Alligator mississippiensis: one gene and its partners. The protein of the gene in region 1 interacts with the protein of each later gene in a biochemical or structural test. Links are inferred from orthologs where the notes say so. Each region holds a gene or a part of one and is shown on either strand. Other genes may lie near its edges. The genes, in order: SRPK2, LUC7L and RBM15.

The links.
Region 2: of the proteins of SRPK2 (region 1) and LUC7L, one has a biochemical effect on the other in vitro, tested with the Homo sapiens proteins (2 studies listed by BioGRID and IntAct). The link is inferred for Alligator mississippiensis from reciprocal best matches to the Homo sapiens genes SRPK2 and LUC7L.
Region 3: of the proteins of SRPK2 (region 1) and RBM15, one has a biochemical effect on the other in vitro, tested with the Homo sapiens proteins (2 studies listed by BioGRID and IntAct). The link is inferred for Alligator mississippiensis from reciprocal best matches to the Homo sapiens genes SRPK2 and RBM15.

What each region holds. Positions count from the first base shown.
Region 1 is NC_081827.1:26,456,784-26,464,332, reverse strand, and holds the start of SRPK2 (SRSF protein kinase 2), read left to right. Parts: upstream 1-4,503; 5' UTR 4,504-4,616; coding exon 4,617-4,632; intron 4,633-4,728; exon of another isoform or gene 4,729-4,730; coding exon 4,731-4,815; intron 4,816-7,549. UniProt on the Homo sapiens protein: Serine/arginine-rich protein-specific kinase which specifically phosphorylates its substrates at serine residues located in regions rich in arginine/serine dipeptides, known as RS domains and is involved in the phosphorylation of SR splicing factors and the regulation of splicing.
Region 2 is NC_081836.1:22,862,641-22,869,973, reverse strand, and holds the start of LUC7L (putative RNA-binding protein Luc7-like 1), read left to right. Parts: upstream 1-4,262; 5' UTR 4,263-4,347; coding exon 4,348-4,408; intron 4,409-6,076; exon of another isoform or gene 6,077-6,147; intron 6,148-7,283; coding exon 7,284-7,333. UniProt on the Homo sapiens protein: May bind to RNA via its Arg/Ser-rich domain.
Region 3 is NC_081837.1:34,888,676-34,896,284, forward strand, and holds the start of RBM15 (RNA-binding protein 15), read left to right. Parts: upstream 1-4,535; 5' UTR 4,536-4,623; coding exon 4,624-7,503; 3' UTR 7,504-7,609. UniProt on the Homo sapiens protein: RNA-binding protein that acts as a key regulator of N6-methyladenosine (m6A) methylation of RNAs, thereby regulating different processes, such as hematopoietic cell homeostasis, alternative splicing of mRNAs and X chromosome inactivation mediated by Xist RNA.

The DNA of each region.
Region 1 (7,549 bases):
TTTACAAAGCTATATAAACCAGCAAGTGTGTAGCCAGGAAATCCGGCCCCCCAAAAATAATTTCAAACGAACAATAAACAAACAGACTCTTTTTCAGTGTATGTGCACAAATATATCAAACTGTTAAGAAACATGGAATGGATATGGGAAATAAAGAGAAAGGAAGAAAGCATTGAGGCGAGGAAGAGAGTGGTACTTGAATGCTACAAAGAACTCTGCTATCTTTAGCAAATTCTCCTTTTCTGTATTATTTTTCCTTTTCACAACCCCTGTATTCTCTTTTCCTCCCCACTGCGTTCTTTGTTGTTAGTTCCATTCTGTGCAAGAGCAGCAGCATGTTGGTGAAATTGGCTAACATCCTGATTTTTGGGAACATGTGGTTCATAGAGCATAATATTGCCCACTGAGAAAAGCAGTACAGAGATAAACAGGAACATAAATTAGAACTGCAGGCCAAAGTCTTCAAGGATCCCTTTGCTCAAGAAGTGGTTTCTATTATCCTCAGAAAAGAAGCAGACATCACCATATTTACAAGACCACTGCTAGATTTGTTTTTTTTTTTCCTTAAAAATGCATCCCAATTTCCATAAGAGTAGCTGAAACCTCCTATGTAAGGAACATATTTCTAGGTCAAGTGAAAAGGAAACAACTAAGACTTTTTTGAGGTCAGGTCTAAACTGCACTGTAGAGCATAATAATAAACAGGTAAAATGTCAGCTCACAGCTTGTATGTTTCTCCTTTCCATTCCCATTTGCGTTCACAGCCACGCAAAATGAAAGAATAACTCTTGCCTTCTATTGTCCCTACTAATTGGGCAAGTCAAACCACCTGAGCCTAGAAACTTGGTCCCTACAGCAAATGAACTCCTTGATAATCCAGCAAAACCAGACACCTCTGTTGCAGATACTCTGTTCAAGGAAAGGCAGCCAGTGAAGGGGAAAGTAATCCTGTTATATCCCATTGTTGCAAATTTACTTTATCTATTTGTTACAAATACTTCATTCCAGTCTGTGCATCCTTTTGAGCGCAGTATTTAATTTAAAAACATTCTTTTAAGGTAACAAAATAGGATGGAAGGAAAAGGAAGCATATATACACTTGCACTGAAGTAGCAAAATAAGTTAATTAAAACATACATGTAATTATTTCTGTACACATTTGTGTTCAGGCTAGCCCTATAAGTAATTTTTAATACCATTTTACCTTGTCTGAAATTTAATCTAATATTTTTGGCCTCCTTTCTCTGTCATTTCCAAATGTAGGCCCTAATCCTAGCAAACACTTTATAACTACTTTATGTGAGCAGTCCCTTTGATACAGCTGAACTACTTCCATAAGTATCATTTTACACATGCTTAAGCATTTGCAAAACTAGGGCCCTCGTCATCATCTCAACATCCTTTGTGTTTAGATTGTACAGCTATTATATTTACCTACTAATTTAGATAAGTGCACATAAGAATCCTTTGTGCATGTGTAAAGACTTTCCCATTTATTTTATTATCTTTCTGTGTGAGCATATTACACAGATCTTTTGAGTAGCCTCTTCAGAAAATAGAAAGACAGAACAGGAAAAATGCAGTCCATTTCCTTGGAACAGGAATAAATTGATTGTATAATAAACACCCACCTAATCCTAAGAAATAATTCCTTCTCTGTGCAATACCAGATACTTCTCTCATGCTGCTTATATTGCTGACATTATACCCTTGAGGGAAATTCCTTCCTGACTCCAGATTTGGCAATCACTTTATCACTCTGTTCATATGAGTAAAGCCCTTTGTAGCTGCACATCTAAGACCCAATTGTCCCATACCCAACCCCACTGAAATAAATGGGAGTGCTCATGAACAGCTGAAAGTATGATTGGGCCCCCTGATCTATGACTGAAATATCCTACAATCACCCCTGAAAGGACTTCCCTGACCTTTCTAAGCCTGATTAGAGGGGCCAGGCCTCCTTTGCATATAATATGTATATCTGTTAGTCACCCAGCCGCTTTGTAAGCTTGAAACAATTGTGTTAAACTTTGGTAATTACAGTACTTTCTAACTGCAGTGTCCTCAAGCATTAAAAGCATGTGTGTTATTCTCTTCAGAATGATTAAATTTAAAGCAATAATAAATACATTAGTGGTTCTTTTTCTTTGCCTTTTGGTATTGGAGTCTTAGCAATTTGATGTTATTCACTGCAACCATGAGGTGTGCAGAAGTATATTGAAATAGACTTTTAAAATTAAACCTGAAATCCTAATTGAATGAATCCAGAGGCTTTAAGAAAAACAACAAAGACGACTTAAAATCAATATCCAGGAGTTAACAACATGGCATCAATCTACATCTAGAGGCTTCTCACTACTATTTAGTATTGTATAAACATTCACCAAGAAATGTGGGGAGAAACCTTGCTTTACTGACACTGAGGAGTGTCAGGGGGGAATGTTCGAATAAGTGTCCAAAAAGTGTGGAAACTTTTCAGAAGAAAGAAAAAGAGGGTCACAGGAGGGACTCCTTTAGATTTTACTAATATTGGCAAAATGTTAGTAAACACAGGTGACATTATTGAGGGCAGCTCGTCTGTTTGTTAGCAGGCACCTGGTTGTTGTCCATTACCAGAAGCTTTTTGAGCTATACTGCATGAGGTATTTCAGGAATGAGGCAGAACTCCAAAAGGGGACCCTAAACGGATATACAAGGAAGAGTACTGGAGCACCGAGAATTTAAAACTGGAAGTTTTAAATACTCTAAGTGCTCAGTGTTTGACTTCTTATAACAAACATGTGCCATTTTTAAGACTATATTATGCACCACATCCATAATCTCCCACCCTCATGCACTTGTAGTGTCTGAACATTGAGCCTTCTGGGTTGCAGCACCGTGTTCAAGCACTTGACCTACTGAACCAATGAACACTGGCTGACAACACCTTCCTATCATCTTGTGTGCCTAATGCTTCCTCAGCCTGACAAAGCGTATTTGTACCTGAAAGCTTGCAAAGAAGAATTTTGTCAACTATTTGAGTTGGTCTAATAAAAGATATTGGATTTACCCAAAGAACCTCACCTGCCCGAAGATGCCTAATGCACTGGTGCAGTAGATCACCTATACTCAAGCAGTAGAACTGACTGAAAAGCTTATTATGCTCCTGGAGAATGCTGAGTTTTGGGTTTTTCTCTTTCGCTGAATGTTTATATTCAGAAATGCCGCGGTGGTGCCTCATGGGAGTTGTGGGCTAAGAAGCCCGTGTGCCCTTTCTTCTCTACAGCAGCAGTTCTCAACCTTTTTTGTACCAGGACGAGGGTGGCCACGAGGTACCTCAAAAATAGATGTCCCCACTACCACAAACGTGGTGCGCCTCCCGAGGCTGGAGGGCACAGTGAGGTCCCGCAGGCAGCGGTGTTGGCGGTGGGGGTAGTGGCGAGTGGTGAGCTCCTGCAGGCAGTGGTAGCGGTGTCTGCAGTGGGGTCAGGCCAAGAAGGGAGCTCCCGTAGGTGGTCACCGTGGTGTTGGCAGCAGGGAGGGGGTGGTGTTGAGTGATGAAAAATAGAGAACGTAAAGGCACTTGGTTTTCCTATCAACGGAGGACCAGAAAACCAGACTCTCCTGTATAAAACTGGACAAATGGCCACCCTAACCAGGACCCATTTGTAAAGGTTGATGGCCAGTCCCAACCCAGTGCCCCTCAGTGTGTGGGCATGTGGGGTAGGGAGGGCAAGTGCACAGGGGTCCCAGGCAGCCCCTTGCAGGTGGGAACTGTGCCAGCCTGGGAGAGAAAACCCACGGGTCCCCCGCCTTTCTCATAGATTGAATAGACATTAGGGCTGGAAGGGACCTCGGAAGATCATGGAGTCCAGCCCCCCCCCCCCGGGACAGGAAGTCAGCTGGGGCCATAGGATCCCATTAAGATAAATGTCCAAATGTCTCTTGAAGGCATTCAAAGTAGGTGCTTGAACCACCCCTGGCGGCAGGCTAGTCCAGGCGTTGGGGGCTCGGACAGGAAGGAAATTCTTCCTTGTGTCGGGCCTGAAATGGTCTTGCAGGAGTTTATAACCCTTCGACCTTGTCACCCCTTCCTTGGGGTGAACAGATCCAGATCCCGGCGAGCACCCCGATAAACTTTTCCTCCTTTAAAAGAGAATCCACTTTTACAGCGTGTGGATCCGTTTCCAAAAACTTTGCTTGCCCCCCTTTCCTAGATGTTGGGCCCAGGGGTTGAGAAAGGCTGCTTCAGGGTGGGCTCCCCGATCCGAGCAGAAACAGCGGGGCACCACGTGCGCAGCGCTCGTCCTGCCCGCCCGGGCCGGGGGACGCCCGGGGAAGGCGCCGGCTGGAGGCTCCCGGGGGCTCGGCCTCCCGCCCGGCGCGGCACTCCCACGCGCGAGGTCCCCAGCGATGCGAGCAGGACCCGCGCCCCCACCTCCACCCCCGCCGCGCTCCCAGGCCGGGGGCAGGAGGCGCCAGCGCAGCCCCCGCCCCGCCCCGGTGCCGGCTGCCGCGCCTGCGCAGCGCTCGCGGGGCTGCTGTCCGTGCCCGGCGCTCCCACCGCCTGCTCCTCCGCCTCCAGCCTCGGCTCCGGCTCCGCTCGTGCGCCGGGCCTGGCCCAGCGGCGCAGAGCGATGAGCTCCCGCAAAGGTACCGTGGGGCCGGTCGTGGGGCAGGGGCCGGGGCAGGGGCAGGGGCCGGGGCCGCTCCCCCTCCCCCCCCGCACTAACCCGCCCGTGTCTCCCCAGTGTTGGCGCTGCAGGCCCGGAGGCGGCGGCCCAAGCAGCCCGTGGCGGCGGCGCGGAGGGACAAGCAGCCGGCGCAGCACAAGAAGTGAGTGCGGGGCCGCGGGGTGTCCCGCCGCGCTCGGGCGCCGGGGGTCGCTCCGGCCTGGGAAAGTTTCCTTGAGGAGCGGGGCCCGCGGCCCGGGCTCCTCCCACAGCGCCCTCAGGGCTCGGGGCCCCGCGCACCTCGGCAGGGGAAGGGGAAGGGGCTTGGGGGAGACAAGTGCCCAGCGCCCCTCAGGCGAGTGAGTGCTGGCCCCTTGCCCCGCGGAGTTGGCACTTCCAGAGCCGGCGCCCAGCTTTTGGTTGCCTCAGGAAACGGTGGCAGCAAGGTGTCGGGTGCCTGGGCCACAGAAGACCCCCCCCCCTTTCTTTTTTTTTTTGGCCTGCTGGCTCCTCGGTTTCTTCTGCTTTCTCTCCTCCTCGTCTGTCTGACTGTCCCAAACGCTCAGATCTTTGCGCGGGAGTCTGAGATGTGTCGCTCTTCTGAATGATATAAGGAATGATCTGTGGCCAAAATTTAATTGACATTGGTATTCGATTGGATTAGAAAGAAAATCAGCCTTAACAAAACAAAACAAAACAAAGGTTTAGGTTCCCCTGCTTTGTTTTGAAGCCAGACACTGCTGTCTCATGCTGCTCTTGAGCGACAAAGAAAAACGTGAGAGGAACAGAACAAAATCATGAAAAGTCAGGGTTGTTTTTAGCTTTTAATCCTCCAAGGTTGGTATTCAGAGTAGACACCTGCTTGTTTGCTTCTGACTCTAATGTTATCATTTGAACTTTATTTCTGCTGGGGTACTATCCTTCAGTCACGGCAGGAAGGGTCAGCACAGCAACCAACATCCACTGCTCCCATTAACAGTCTGCTTCAAGGGAATTGCATGATTGCCTGGTAGAATTCTTTGCATTGTAACTTATTGGCAGACTGGTTGCATCGCTTATTAAGGTAGTCGCACAAACTGAACAAAGCAAGAACTTTTACCTCCACGTTTTTTTTTTTTGTTTAGTTTTCATCATCTCAATAGTTAATGTAAGGGTGTGAAGGGCGCTTAGTGCTTGCCAGATGTAGATCCTTTCAGTTGATAATGAGAGCTAGCAGAAAAGATCTCCTAAGATTTTGTGGTGTGGAGAAGTAGAATGTAAGTGATTGGTCTAGGGAGGAAGGAAGGGGAAGAAGTAAGAAGGTAAGCGATTGTTGTAAGGAGGGGTCCATGTTATGACTTCGATCATGATGAAGTCTGTGAAATCCTACAAAGGTTGGTGGTTGAGCCTCAGTTGCAGAGATGGCTAGAAAAGCATTATGTAGTGCTACTATTGGCAAGTTATGCCAGATATTTGGTTCTGAGAAAAATACATGGATTTACCATGTGATGTATACAAGTTGCTTTTTATCAGCCCTAGTCTGTTAGGCAAAGGATTAATCAAAGCTGTTAAGACAGTTGCACACAGAAGTTGTACCAGTTAAACTGCAGGTCTACCCTTTGAAAAGTAGTATGGGAAATGAACAGATCTCTGCACACAGGCTGTGTTCAGAGACATACTTGCTTTGTAGTAAACATGCTGGTTTGCTATTCTTTCCTTGGTATTCCAGAGCACAGCCCTGGAAAAGGTAGCTCACTTACTTTTGGCTCTTGTCTACATGCAGACTTGAACTTTAGAGTTAATGCAGAAGCCAGGAGAAAAACATATTTTTTTTTTTTTGTTTTTTTGCCTCCTCCCCCGTGCCTTTCCTCGTCCCCTCAATCAAATTTGCTTGCAGATGTGGTTTTTTGTTGTTTGCTGTTTGTTGTTTTTGTTTTTTACAGCATGTAACATATTGGAGCTCAACTGATTGAAGTGTTTGTGCAATACTACAATGCAAGGGAAGGCTGATCATGCTGTTATTTTCTTGCGGTGGTGAGGAATACAATTGCCAGGGAAAATAAAGTACCTATATTTCCCTCCTGTGCATGGGTGGAAATGATACAGCTTTTCTTGTGACAAAAAATATCCAGACAATTAATATATTCTTGGGCTTATCTATATTGTATAACTTGATTTTATGTATACACGTACCTAGAAAATGGTATGTTGCTGCCATTTGTCAGTATTGTCACTTTTGTTATCCTACAGTGAGCAAACCTGTCTGGGCCACCTAGTGTCATTTTTGTGTATTTACTCAGAATATGGTGTCAACATGAGACAGTGGGTCCTATGAGTAAAATTGATAAATAGTTGTCTTCTGAGTTGTGGTGCTTTGGATAAGCCTTCATCATTTTGTCTTCATTGCCAGCCTGAAAGACCATACAGTTCTGCAATGTATTAAGCTCAAACATTTTAAAAACTTGGATATCTAAAATTAGCTAATCAGGGTAACTTCATGCCCCTACTTTGAAAAATTAGGCTTCCCCATTAGGCTCCCCCATATCAGTCTAAAAACTGATCTAGCCTGTTGTTGATTTCCCTTCCTCTCCCCTTCCTTTTTCTTATTGGGTATGTGTAATGGTCTTCATACATACATAGATTATATTTTACAGAAAGTAATTATATTTCAGTTTTAATATATGTAATTTGTAGCTTCTGATATGTTTGAATATCTGAGACACCTCTTCATCTAATGTTTATATTTTTAATGTGTTGATGAATAAAGCCGATGCCAAAAGTTTTTGTGGAATCCATTCAATGTACAGTAAATCTTATACTGTAAAGAAATGAATGTGTCTGTTAAAGTACTGTATATGTTGGTTCCTCTGTTAACTGAGACTTGCAAAAATCTCATGCTGGGAAAGCATCTGGGATTG
Region 2 (7,333 bases), on another chromosome or scaffold:
TGGCAGAGGGTAGATTTAGACTAGACATCAGGAGGCGCTACTTCACAGTCAGGGCGGCTAGGATCTGGAACCAACTTCCAAGGGAAGTAGTGCTGGCTCCTACCCTTTAAGAGGAGGGAGGGTCTTTAAGAGGAGGCTAGATGAACACCTTGCTGGGGTCGTTTGACCCCAGTGCTCTTTCCTGCCATGATAGGAGGTTGGACTTCATAGATTTCATAGATTTCATAGACATTAGGGCTGGAAGGGACCTCGGAAGATCACCGAGTCCAGCCCCCTGCCCAAAGGGCAGGAAGTCAGCTGGGGTCACAGGATCCCAGCAAGTTAAGCATCCAGTTTGCTTTTGAAGGTGTTTAATGTAGGCGCTTGAACCACCTCCGGTGGCAGGCTGTTCCAGACCTTGGGGGCTCAGACAGTAAAGAAATTCTTCCTTATGTCCAGCCTGAAACGGTCTTGTAGTAGTTTATGACCATTCAACCTAGTCATCATCCCTTGGGGCGCTCTGGTGAACAAACGTTCCCCCAGATACTGGTGGTCACCCCTGATAAACTTATAGGTGGCCATCAGATCACCCCTGAGCCTGTGCTTTTTCAGGCTAAAGAGCCCCAGGGCTTTCAGCCTGTCATCGTAGGGTCCGCTTCCCTGACCTCTGATCATACGCGTGGCTCTTCTTTGGACTCTCTCAAGCTTCTCCACATCCTTTTTGAATTGTGGAGCCCAAAACTGGACGCAGTACTCCAGCTGTGGCCTCACTAAGGCTGAGTACAAGGGGAGAATGATGTCCTGGGATTTGCTTGAGAAGCATCTATGGATGCAAGCCAGCGTTTTGGTCGTTTTACTAGCCGCAGCATCGCACTGCAGGCTCATGTTCATCTTGTGGTCAATGATCACCCCCAAGTCTCTTTCTTCCATAGTGCTAGCCAACATAGCACTGCCGAGCCTATAAGGATGCTGCGGGTTTTTCTTCCCAAGGTGAAGAACCTTGCATTTATCGGCGTTGAACACCATCAGATTCTCGTCCACCCACTTGCTGAGCCTGTCCAGGTCAGCCTGGATCACCTGCCTGTCTTCTGGTGTGGATGCTTTGCCCCAAAGTTTGGTGTCATCGGCGAACTTGGCCAGTCCGCTTCTGACTCCAGTGTCCACATCATTAATGAAGATGTTGAACAGTATGGGTCCAAGGACAGAGCCTTGGGGGACCCCACTGGTCACAGGACACAATGATGAGTGACTTCCATCAATTACTACCGTCTGGGTCCAACCGATTTCTAAATCCGATTTCTAAATACACATACACATTCAGTCAGCCAGACCCCCTCCCACATTGCCTCGGTTAACTAACTGCGAGCCCAATGTGCTGTTGGATGGAGGTGATTCAGACAGATTCTCCCTGAACAGAATGTACGTTACCAGACAGGAATACCAGACAGAAAATTTAGCCGGCAGTAAGGTTCAGACTGACCTATTTTAACAAGGTTCAGATCCAGTTACCACGGTCACGTTGGGAGCCTACGGGCAGTCCTCCTCCGAAACCCAATAGAGATTTTGAATTAGGTCTCTTACCTCTCAAGTTTGGTGCCTCGGGTTCGGGGGCGGGGGGCAGTCCGCGGTCCTCCTTCCTCAACACGTGTTCTGGATGCGAGTCACGGCACCAGGAACCGTCGTGGAAACACACGCAGCATACTTTTGGGTCAGGTCAGCAGAAGCTTTTATTTAAATGAAACTACAGCTGTAGGGGGGACTCCAAAGTGACATGGATTTCCCAAGCACTTGGAAGGGGTTCCCCCCAAGAGCAAAAGCAGGAGGCTTATATACTTTTTAACAGTCGCTTACAACTCATGTGATCATATAGTGGAATTAGCTAGAAAAGCAGCTACAAACATTACCTCATACTGCTTTGCTGTTATCAGGATGGGAACTATGGGGGGAGACAAAGGGAAAAATAACACTCCCTTCTTGCACCTGGAAATCAGAGTTGTACATACTTTTTTGTTATCTTCAAGGCCACGGTGAGCGAAGCAGTTGCAGAGGAGTTACAAAGAACAAACACTTTCCCTTATCAGTTCTACTCTACAGAGCCAGCAATTCCCCACAATGCGGTTATGTCATCTTATAACTCGTATGATCAAAGTTTAAGGCATTTATTTCTTTCTGATTCCACAATTGGGTCCAGTCCCCCTGCATTAGGCAGGAAAGACAACTAGGGTCAGGTGACCCCAGTAAGCTGACTGTCCAGTCTCGTCTGGAGATTTCCAGGGTAGATGATTGCACCACCTCTGTGGGAGTTTATTCTACAGTGTAGACGCCATGACTGTGAAGAAGTTTTTCATACAGTTGAGCCTGAAGAGGCCTTCCAGGAGTCTGCGGCCATTACTCCTGTTTTTCCCCAAGGGTGCCCTGGGGAACAGTAGGGCTGTGCGAAATTTCGCCACCAGTTTTGTTTCGATGCTGTTTCAACCTGTTTCGAGGTCAAAACAGCAGAATTGAAATGGAACCGACATGGTCGAAACAGCCTCGAAACAAAACGAGGCAAGTAGAAATGTTTTGCCATTTCGAGGCTGTTTTGCCATTTCGCCCATAGGCTGCAATGGGGAAGGTTGAAACAGCTTATAACTTTGTCATTTCTGGCCTGATTTGGATGAACCTTGCAGAAATGCTATCCCCTTCTGAGGGTATGAACCATGCCAAGTTTCAAGAAGATAGGTACAGGGGGTTCAGAGAATCTGCACCCCAAAGTCTTGAGAGCAAAACTCATGTCACATGTACGTATTAAGCCACAGTGGAGTCAAAGCTGCCAGGATGGTAGCCCTTGATGAGGCACCAAAGCCTGCCAAGTTTCAAGGAGATAGGTAGAGGGGGTTTGGAGAAACTGCACCCCTTATATCCTGAAAGCAAAACTCATGTCACGTGTATGTGTTAAGGCACAGCAGGGTCAAAACTTCAGACATGCTAGCCCCTTCTGAGGCCACAAAGCCTGCCAAGTTTCAAGGAGATCAGTGCAGGGGTTTGGGGGAAACTACACCTCGTGCTGAGGACAAGCAAAACTCGTGACATGGGTGACAGTGTGTGTGTTAAGGTGCAGCAGGGTGAAAGCTGCAGGCCTGCTAGCCCCTGCTGAGGCCACGAAGCCTGCCAGTTGTCAAGGAGATAGGTGCAGAGACTTCTGGGTTCTGGGGCCCTGCACCTCTAGCTGCTGACAGGCAAAACTTGTGAAATGGGCTGTCTTCCAATCCTCAGGGATCTCCCCTGAGCACCACAAGTTTTGGAAAAGTTTTGCCAGGGGTCCCGCAATGACCTTAGCCAGCTCCTTCAGTACTCTCAGGTGGAATCTGTCCTGTCCTCCTGACTTATAAATGTCTAGCTTTTCTAGTTGGTCATGCACAAGTTCAGCATCAACAGTAGGAAGGCGGTCATTCCCACCACGCCCCCTGTGAAGCTTATCTAGCATGTTTTTCCCCTTGGTCCAGTGAAATACCAGAGCAGTGTGGGCATTCAGGAGTTCATTTTTTTTCCTGAGTGCCTGTTACCAGCTGTCCTGAGGTGTTAAGCAGGGGTCCCACACTTTCATTTGTTTTCCTACTGCTTACATACCTACAGAAGGACTTCTTATTGTCCTTGATTCTCATCACTAACTTAAAATCAGTCGCTGCCTTAGATTTCCTAATCTTCTCCCTACATGTGCGGACTGCTGTTGTATAGTCCTCCTTGAGGACTCTCTCTAGCTTCCATTGTGTGTATGCCTCTTTTCTTTTTCAAGAGGACCATGATATCCCTATTAAGCCAAGAGGGCTTGCCAGCCTTTCTACCTTTCCTCTGCAGGGGAATGGTCTTTTTTTGTGCTTCGAGGATTGTGTCCTTGAAGAACAACCACTCTTCATGCACTCCATTTGCCTGTGGTCCCTGGTCCCCCATCGCCTCCCCTACTAATGCCCTAAGCCTCTTGCAGTTTGTGTTTTTGAAGTCCAGGACTTCAATTCCGCTGGTTGATTTGTCTGCCTTATGGCAGACAGGGAACCTCACGAGCTCAAGGTTGCTGTCGTCCAGGCTACCTTTAATATTCACGTTGCTCACCAGATCATTTCCTTTGGCTAGGCTACCTACATCGCCAGGGTTGAAACGATCCTACCAGTACGATCATTAGAGACCGGGGCAGGCGGAGCCGAGGCCGGGCTCGGCTAGACTCCATGTCCCAGGCCTCCGCGCGCTGCAGGGCGGGGCCGCTTCCTCCCAGCGTCCCCCGCGGCGCCAGCAGAGGCCGGAGAGCCGGAGCCGGAGCCGCCGCCCGCCTGCCCCGCGGGGGTCCCGCAGCGAGAGGCCGCCGCCGCCTTCTTCGTCGTCATCATCATCATCATGTCGGCCCAGGCCCAGATGCGGGCGCTGCTGGACCAGCTCATGGGCACGGCCCGGGACGGTGAGTAGCGCGGCGAGGCCTGCAGGAAGCGCCGCGGCCTGGCAGTCGCGCAGGCCTGGTCCGGGCGGGCGCGGCCGGGGACGGGGACGGGGCCGCCCCGGCCCTGGGCCTTGCCCACTCCCCGCGCGGGCCCGATCCCTGCCTCGGCTCTGCGCATCCTCCCGCCGGGCCTGCCCCCCCTCCGTCCCCTCCGTCCGCGGCGCTGGCGCTGGCGCTGGGCCCGATCCCGGCCGCCTCAAGCCCCTTGGGGCGCCAGTAGGGCCCTGTGCCCGAGTCGCGATCCTTCTGCTCCTGGCGGGCCGGGCAGGGGCCGCTGTAGGATAGCTGCCTCCCCGTCAGAGCGCTGGTTCCTCCTGAGCCTGGTCTTTGCACCCTCCCTCTTCTCCCTCAGCCCGTGGGACGTCGGCTCACCCTGGGCCTGGTTCTTGACCCCTTTCCTCTGACCCCATTATCCTGGCAGGACCTCTGACTCCCAGGTCTTGCCTTAGCCCCTTTGCTCTCTTCCCTGCAGCTAGTGTTCTGGGCCCTGGCTTTGATCCTCTGCCCCAAACAGGGACACACACAATCCGATCTCTTGCTGCCCTCTCTCGCAGCAGAGGCCCGGTGTCAGTGTCAGGTTTTCTTGCTGGTGACACCCTTGATGCTCCCTGTGCGGACCCTCTGCTGAGATGTTTAGAGCCTGTCATGATCTGTCTAGAACCGCCAGCAGCTGGAAGCATTTGCGTGCATTAAGTCAGACTTAAAATGTGCTGTTATTCCATTCCTGTCCTCGCACAGGACCGGTGAGGACACATTGAGCATCCAGGCCTCGTTCTCAAACATGGGCTCCTTATCAGATTATCCACAGCTCACCTCCAAGTGGTTGGGTTTAGCATTTGAGCATGAGCATCTGTTCTGCATGTGTCTGTGTCAACTTTGAGTGTCCACAATTGGTATTTGGCTGACTCACTAAGGAGCCTAGGTTTGAAAGATTGGGCCCTCTCAGAGTTTCCTCCTCTGTCTAGGTGCTGCCGCCCAACAAAAGTATATTTATAGTAAAGCCCATAAAATAGTCCAGAAACAATGTTCTGGGACTGCAGTTGCTGTAAGTAGAGTAAGCCTACGTTTTAGTCTTTGTAGCCTTTTTCTGAGGCTACCTGGAAACCTCAACAGAAAATACCCTTGGTATCTAGTTCTGCAGTGCAGAAAAACTCAGGCTTCCCTCACAGAAAATATAGTCCTGAGTGTCCCATCGCTCTACTGTTGCACTTGCAAGGAGAGCTGAAAGTCTCAACTTTCCTGACTTCATGTTGATCTATTTGGAGAGGCTTTCCAACGGGGGGCCCACAGCAAAAGCTCTGCATTTAATCAACACCTTTCACACAGAAGTGTACATAGGTAGGTTTGTGTTTAGAAACTGGTATTCCTAGATATTGCCCAAGAAAAGGAATGTCGCATCTTGTGCAAAACTGTATTCTTGCTATGGTTTGTATCTTCTCTTCTACTGAGTTATTGACTATTTAAACGCACTCTGACACTTAGCAGGGCTATCCAGGTATTTTGCACTTTGTTTCGTAAGTGAATAAGTGCTTTTTCTTTCTTTGTGTATTGAGTTGCTTTTGAATTGCTTCCCATATTTTTATTTCATACAAACTGAACAATTGTGGCCCCTCTATTTTATTTATAAAGGTTCAGTGTATCTTTGCCTGCCTACATCAATCTGCAAGGGAGTTGCAGAAAAGCCTCATGTTCATCGAGCCGTGAGTCACAACCAATTTTTAAAGCTGTTATAACAAAAAAAGTGTTTGCTTTTTCCTCACGAGTAACTTTAAAAGTGTAGCTTAGAAAGAAAGGAAAGAAAGAAAGAAAAAAAGAAAGAAAGAAAACATTTTCAATAGACACTACATTAATCCTGGATGCTTGCAAATCCTAAACTATATTCATACTTTAGTATTACACATACCTGTGTCATATACACAGATTAGCTTTAAAATTGTCACATACCATTGCCACTTTGCCTTTACTTTTATGTATCATTCCCCTGACTTCCTTACTGCAGGTGTGGGCAAGAAAACTTTTCCTTTAAAACTTTTCAACAGTGGGCATAAAATTCTACAGCTGAGGTCTTGAAGAATGCAGATGGGTATAGTATGTGTTGGAGCTCGCAGTGTGTATTGACTAACTTTGTTTCTTTTTTCTTTTTTTTTTTTCCTTTTTCTGCTTTTCTGATATTGTCTTGTTTAAGTGGCTCCCAAGTACAGTATGTCTTCTGGTGGGTGGGAGGTGGGTGGGAAGTACATGTTTCATGTTCCAGGCCAATACCTACAAGCTTCATTTTTCACGTGGCCTTGGACAACACACTACACAATTTGGTTGCCCAAACCAATTGGACTGATGCATTAGGTTACTGGATTAGTAAATAGCAGTTGCCTGTAAAGATTGCCAAGCACAGCCCTGTTTTGTGATTCATGGCCCTCTGATAGCATGGGTTTTAGTATCTCCTGTCCCCTACATACTCTTTGTATATTGGGAAAAAAAAAGGCACAAAACATTATGGCTGTCAGCCAAGTTGTCTGTCTGTCTCTCTTTTTTTTTTTCTGGCTGTGCTGTCTCTTTACATGGATGACAGGTGATAGACACTATTTGGCTTGCCAGCACTCCATTTAACATGTGATATACTCGATGTATAGATGCAAAAATAATGTTTCAGTTGCCAGTTGTAAAAAATCCAGAATAATTTATCCATAACTCAGCTTTTTCAAACAATCTTGGGGAACAGGAAGGTGAAGTATTTTTTTTTTAATCCGCATATTAAGGCAAAATCATCATACCAACACCTTCATGCTTTTATCAGTATTCTAATGCTTTCTTATTTGAAACCACACCTGAATTTCAGGAGATGAAACCAGACAAAGGGTGAAGTTTACTGATGATCGTGTCTGCAAG
Region 3 (7,609 bases), on another chromosome or scaffold:
TGTCCTTTTAGCTGAAATAAAGTATTTCATGGTTTCCCTTGAAACCCATTTTCAATGCATGTCCAAATGAGACTGAGTCAGAAAACAAGAATTGCATTGGGCAAAAGCAATGTTTGGAGGGTCAACATTTGTTTTTGTTCCAGATGGGAACAAGATCGACATCTTGTGAAATTCTGCATAAAACCAAAAAAATATATAAATAATTACCCAGGAGAGTGTGTGAACAAGAGAGAAGCACTCACTCCTAAGTAGCCAATAGCCTGATGATGTGCATACTCACCTGGGATGTGGGAGATTCAGATTTTTAATCGCTGGTCCTAATCACTGGTTTGAACCCTTTTGGCGTCAACGAGAGGTAAGAATACAGCCAGCCTCTTAAAGCTAAACAGTTTATTACAGCAAATTCTAACATGAGACTTAATTACAAACCATAAGCAATTCCCTGATTACCTGTCAGCTGTACTGTCCCAGTTTGGATAGGCAGTCCTCACCGGGCAGCTGGGGAATTCAAGGTGCAAACTCCAGCAGCTCCTTTGATGGATTGCGGATCATCCTGGTACCTCGGGACTTTTTATACTCTGTAGCGATCATGTGGACTGTCTCTGTAATTTTCCACACTATGGTTTCCCTTTCCCCACACCCTCCCCACACACTTGTCACATGACCTCACCCCTCATTCGAGTTACAAATGCAAGTTTGCCAACTTTTAGCTAAGCAAGTTTAAAACAGCATATGTTCAACCATAAACCCAGAGCAGTCTAAGACGGTGGTTTTCAACCTTTTTTTCATTTGTGGACCCCTAAAAAATTTCACCTGGAGGTGTGGACCTTTTTGAATTGTAAGTGGGGGGTATTCACATACTTTTGATTGATCCCCTTTTCATGGACCCCTTAGACATAGCCTGGGGACCCCCAGGGGTCTGCGGACCACAGGTTGAAAACCACTGGTTTAAAGGGGAACTCTCTTGACCTGAGAAAACTTCCTGCAAAATGTGGGCAGACTGGAGAGTCCAGCACAGGGCAACAAAAATAATAAGAGGCTTGAGCAGCAAGACTTACAAGGAAAGGCAAAAAAACTGAGCCTATTTAGTCTGGAGAGGAGAAGACTGAAGCGGGATTTGATACCAGTCTTCAAATCCATGAAGGGTGAGAGGATGGAGAAGTTACAAATGTCACAGTCCAGTAAGATTTAGCTAAGCTTATTTAAAACAGTACATCTTCATCCACAAACCCAAAGCAGTCTAAGAAACACCTTAGTCCAGTAGTCAGCAACTGAAGGCCCACACCTAGCCTGTGGCTTTAGGAGACAGGACTAGGAGCGGTGGCCTCAAGCTGCAGCAGAGCAAATTGAGGCTGGAGAATCCAAAGAACTTTCTGACCATGAGGGTGTGCAAGCATTGGAGCAGGATCCTGAGAGAAGTTGTGACATCTCCTTCCTTGGAAATTTCCAATATCAGGTTGGACCCACACTTGGCTGGATGGTTTAATCCTGCCTTTGAGCAGGGAGTTGGGCTGAATAACCTTGCGAGGTCCTTTCCGGCTCTACTTTCTTATGATCCTGTTTCCAAACCAAACTTTTCAGTGTTGCTGAAACGGCAATTTTGATGGAAAAAAGTTTGTCAAAAGTTTTTGGCCAGTTTTACTGTGGTAAAGCAGCTAGGTGACTGTCCCAATGTGATTTGAAAATCCATGAAGCCCTGGACATTATAACCCCTATCTTGTTTCTATGACTCCCAGTATGGCCCTTTATATATATTTCTCTCTGTCTTTCATCTACCCCTGCATAATTAAATCTTTATCAGCCTGTCTCCCATATGATTATGTGCAACTAAGTATATGTGTCCGTCTTTGATGTATCTTAGGATAACATGGTATAACTAAGTAAAAGACATCAATGTCCATGCACACCGACACAGCATACACCCAATATATGTTTCTGATTGATCCTGTCTACATGTGTATTTACCCCTGCCTAAACTTAATGCATCTTTGCTTAAGGTGCATTAAGATGACTTAGGTGCATGTCTACGCATGGACATGCTAATGCACATTAAGTCTCATTAAATGTAGGTGTGAATAGCTGAGTTGCATTAGCACATGTGTAGAAGCATGAATGTGCATTAGTATGTCTACACGCGCGCAAATGTCTTAGCTATTCACATGTAAATTTGATACCTGCTTTATGCATGTATCAAATTTAGGCTGGAATAGCCTAAAAACAGCTTTATGCCTAAATAGCCTAAAATCACCATTTTCAGAGTGCATTAAGGGTGCGCACGTGTAGATGCGCACCCTTAATGTGCCTTAAATTGGGCTACTGTTCATTAAATGTGGACGTGAAGACATGACCCCTGTCTCCAAACTACCATAATTCATGAACTATTTAGCTCCACATTTGAACCCCCCCCCCATTTCAGGAATCTCTGTCTTGAACATACAGGAATTCCTGTCTTAAGCTGGCATCACATATGCAGCAATTTGTTGCATACATGACACCAGCTTCTTTGGAAAGAGAAGGTGAAGGCAGGGCAGAGTGCCACCTTGCCTGAATGCCAGTACAATGCCTTTAAAAGAAATCTCATTGGTTTCGCCTCTGATTTGACGTGAGATGCTGCTGGGAGACATTTTTTTTTCACCGCGGAATAGAGTTGAGGCACCCGTCACAAATTGCCAGTTTAGTTTTCACTTTTTTTTTTTGACTACAGAAAAATAATAAAAGAGTTTTTTCTGCTGCAAAGAACTCCGAAAGACCCCAACCGTGGATCTCGGTTTGAAATCTCTGTGCTTATCTTGTGACTCATGGTTGCAAACCTAACAGCACTATCACGGCGTGGCACCCTGCTGCACCCTCTGAAAGGATCTCAGGGTACCACAGGGTGCCATGAGACCCTGGTGGAGAATCACTGCAATAAGCCAGCTCCACATCTTCCACTCTTCAGGGCAGAGCCGGGTATTTCAGGCCTTCTCCAGGCAAGTGGAGAGAATTCTTGCTTAGAAAAATGGCCTCTGTTTCTTCCTCCCAGGGATCCTGGCAAGGGAGGGTTCCCATCTCTTGGTGCGGCAGGTTTTGTTCATTGGTTTATGAAATGTCAGGTTGAACATAGAGCCGTTGGGTTGGAAGAGGTTTCAGAGGTTGTCTAGTCTAGGGCAGGGGGCAAGTGGTGCGGGCAGCCTCTGTGTGGGGCACGTGGGAGACTGGACTGGGACAGGCGGCACACTGGTGGAAAGCAGAAAGCAGAGCAGAAGTTGGAGCAGTAGAAGAGATGGCAGGGAGCAGACAGCAGAGCAGAGGCTGGAGCAGAAGAGATGGCAGGGAGCAGACAGCAGAGCAGAGGCTGGAGCTGTAGAAGAGATGGCAGGGAGCAGACAGCAGAGCAGAGGCTGGAGCTGTAGAAGAGAGGGCAGGGAGCAGACAGCAGAGCAGAGGCTGGAGCTGTAGAAGAGATGGCAGGGAGCAGACAGCAGAGCAGAGGCTGGAGCTGTAGAAGAGAGGGCAGGGAGCAGACAGCAGAGCAGAGGCTGGAGCTGTAGAAGAGAGGGCAGGGAGCAGACAGCAGAGCAGAGGCTGGAGCTGTAGAAGAGAGGGCAGGGAGCAGACAGCAGAGTGGAATGCATGAGGACCCCCAGGGCAGAGAGCAAAAAGCAGAGCCAGTGTCTTGGGCAGTGAAGTAGGGAAAGGAGCAGAAAGTCGAGTGGCAAATCAGCAGGGAGGGGAATACGGCGCAGGGAGCGGAAAGCAGAGCTGAAGACCAGAGGCAGGATACCGTGATGGGAACAGAAAGCGGAGCAGCAAGCGAGAGCCCCCTACTTTGGAGCTGGCGTCCAAAAAGCACCGCCCCGCATCCTCCCTAAGCCAATTACTTAAACTCTCGGCGTGACTGACACCCTCCCCCGCCCATCAGAAGGCTCCTCACCTCCATCCAATCAGATCGATAAGGAGATTTTCATCAACCAATGAGGGCGAAGGGCCAGGGTCCGGCGGCATCCCGCGCTTATCCCGGAGGGACGTGCGGCTCAGCCTATCACATTGGTAGGGCGGGACGGGAGAGCGGTAGGCCAATCACAACGAGAGGTAAGGTCACGGCCTGTCCCGCTGAACTGCTCCGACGGACACAAGCCCCATCCAGTCACAGAGAAGGGGCAAAGCGACTTTTGACCAATGAGAGGCAGGGGCGGGTTCCCGGCGCCCAGAGCAGGCCGGTTCGAAATGACGCGGATCCTCACCAATCAGAGACGCGAGGCCCCGCCGCTCTCCGCTCAATGAGAGCCGGAGGAGCGGGGTAGGACGGTCTCACCCCGAAACCGTTACGATTGACAGGCGGCTCGCCCAATCAGAACCCCGCAGCGGCCAATCAGAGCCTCCAAAGGGGGGACCTTCCCTCACAAGCCACCCGAGCACGAGACAGCGAAGAGAGGCAGCGCAGCCACCCAATCAACGAGCGGCCAGGGTGGGGCCTCCCGGACTGACAAGACCAGCGCCCAACGGCAGCAGCGGGGGAGGATAGAGTGGCCCAATGGCGGACAGGGGGGCGGGGACCATTTCCGCGGCGGGTTCCAAGATGGCGGCGCGTGCGTGAGCGCGGGTCCGTCCGTCAGGGAAGCCGTCCCGGAGGTGCTCGGCGCCATGAAGGGCAAGGAGCGCTCCCCGGCCAAGGCCAAGCGGTCCCGGGGCGGCGGCGGCGAGGACTCGGCGCCCTCCTCCTCGTCGGCGCGGGCCGAGCGCAGCAGCAAGAAGCCGAGCGGCTCCGGCGCGGGCGGCAGCAACGGCGGCGGCAAGGCGGCGGGCGGCTCGGGCGAGAGCGGCCGGCGGGGCCTGCACCCGGACAAGGCGGGCCGCGCCGGCAGCCGCGAGTACGAGGCGGGGGCGGCGCCCGGCGGCGGCGGCAGTAGCCGCCACGGCTACAGCGGCAAGAACGCCGAGTCGTCGCGGGGCAGCGGCGGCGGGAGCCGGGGCGGCGGTGGCGGCGGCGGGGGGGAGTCCCGGGCGGCGCCGCCCCCCTCGTCCTCCTCGTCCGAGTCGGGGGGCGGCGGCGGCGGCGAGTACAAGACGCTGAAGATCAGCGAGCTGGGCTCGGCGCTGAGCGACGAGGCGGTGGAGGACGGGCTCTTCCACGAGTTCAAGCGCTTCGGCGACGTGAGCGTCAAGATCAGCCGCCTCCCGCCCGGCACCGGCGCCGCCGACGAGCGCGTGGCCTTCGTCAACTTCCGCCGGCCCGAGGACGCCCGCGCCGCCAAGCACGCCCGCGGCCGCCTCGTGCTCTACAACCGCCCGCTCAAGATCGAGGCCGTGTACGTCGGCGGCGGGAGTGGCCGGCGCCGCGGCAGCCGCTCCCCCGCGCTGCTGGACAAGGAGTCCCCCTACGTGGCCGCGGTGGCGGGTGTGGCGGCTGCGGCTGCCGCTGTGCGGCACCCCGCGGCCGGCGCCACGCAGAGGGCCTTGTCGCCTGCTGGAGGGGGGGGCGGTTTGGGCTACAGAGACTACCGCCTGCAGCAGCTCGCCCTGGGCCGCCTGCCGCCGCCGCCCCCGCTGCCCCGCGAGCTGGAGCGGGAACGGGATTACGGGGCTTTCTATGACACCCGCGTGCGGCCAGCGTACGGGCTGGAGCGGGTGGCTGGCGTGGCGGCCGCCGGCGGCTTCCGAGGAGGAGGAGGGGGTGCCGGAGCGGCCGGCGAGGAGGAGATCAGCCCCGAGGACGACCAGCGAGCCAACCGCACGCTGTTCCTGGGCAACCTGGACATCACGGTGAGCGAGTCGGACCTGCGGCGCGCCTTCGACCGGTTTGGAGTCATCACGGAGGTGGACATCAAGAGGCCGGGCCGCGGCCAGACCAGCACCTACGGCTTCCTTAAGTTTGAGAACCTGGACATGGCTCACAGGGCCAAGCTCGCCATGTCGGGCAAAGTTCTTCTGCGCAACCCCATCAAAATCGGGTATGGCAAAGCCACCCCCACCACCCGGCTCTGGGTGGGGGGCCTGGGGCCCTGGGTGCCACTGGCTGCCTTGGCCAGGGAATTTGACCGTTTTGGTACCATCCGCACTATTGATTATCGGAAAGGTGATTCGTGGGCCTACATCCAGTATGAGAGCCTGGATGCGGCACAGGCTGCCTGCACCCACATGCGTGGTTTCCCTTTGGGTGGGCCCGACCGCCGCCTCCGAGTGGACTTTGCGGACACGGAGCATCGCTACCAGCAGCCATACCTGCAGCCGCTGCCCTTGCCCCCACCTGCCCACTATGAGCTAGTGGCAGAGGCAGCTGCATTTGGGGCTCATCGGGGAGCCCCACCTGACCCACTTCGGGGTGCCCGGGATAGGACACCACCGTTGCTGTACAGAGACCGGGACAGAGACCTTTATCCTGAGGCGGAGTGGGTGCCTCCGCCACCCCCTGTACGGGACAGGAGTAATCGAGCAGCTGCCTATGACCCTCTGGAAAGTCTGGAGCGTCGGCGGGATGGTTGGTCCCTGGAGAGAGACCGAGGGGAGAGGGAGTTGGGTAGCAGTAGCAGGGACCAACCCAGGAAACGGAGACTGGCTGAGGATGGAGGCCGGCACTTGGACCGCTCTCCAGACAGCGAGCGCTCGTCTTCGTCCCGTAAGCGACATTGCCTGGCTGCAGCCTCTCCCCCAGACCGCAGCCCTGATCCTGGTGTGACCCGGGAGCGTTACCTTAGTGATGCAGAGCGTTCCTCCCGTTTGCTCCTGCTGGAGCGGCCGTCACCAATTCGGGAGTCACGCAGGGGCAGCCTGGAGCGTGGCCAGAGTGAGAAGCGTGACCGCAAGAACTCTGCTGAAAGAGAGAGGAAGCACCGTGTCTCAGCGGTAGTTGCTGCCCAGGAGTGCAAGAGTCCAGCCAAAAAGGATGAGCGCACGACAGAAGTGGGCAGTGGTGGAGGGTCCCGGCTCAAACCCCCACCCCAAAAGCAGCAGCAGCAGCAGCAACAGCAGGATGGAACATCGCAGTCTGCTGCGGCCCCCAAACTGTGCCTGGCTTGGCAGGGGATGCTTCTGTTGAAGAATAGCAACTTCCCGTCCAACATGCACCTGCTTCAGGGAGACCTCGGTGTAGCCAGCAGTCTTCTGGTGGAGGGATCAACTGGTGGCAAAGTGGCCCAACTCAAGATCACTCAGCGTCTTCGTTTGGACCAGCCCAAGCTGGATGAGGTCACTCGCCGCATCAAGGTGGCAGGTCCCAATGGATATGCCATTCTCCTGGCAGTGCCTGGCACATCAGACAACCGCTCCTCATCTGGGGCCAGTGAGGCTGCCACCACCTCTACCCAGAGGCCACTCAGGAATCTGGTGTCCTATCTAAAGCAAAAGCAGGCTGCTGGGGTCATCAGCCTCCCTGTAGGAGGCAACAAAGACAAGGAGAACAGCGGGGTTCTGCACGCCTTCCCACCCTGCGATTTCTCCCAACAGTTCCTGGACTCCACGGCCAAAGCTCTGGCCAAATCACAGGACGACTATCTGGTCATGATCATTGTTCGTGGTGCATCCTAAAGCCCTCGTTCTCTGTACCCAACCCTGCCTACTCTTCCACGCAGCCCTTCCAGCGTGTGCCAGGTGCTATGGGATACAGCCTTAGCCAGCCTCACAATTATTTTTA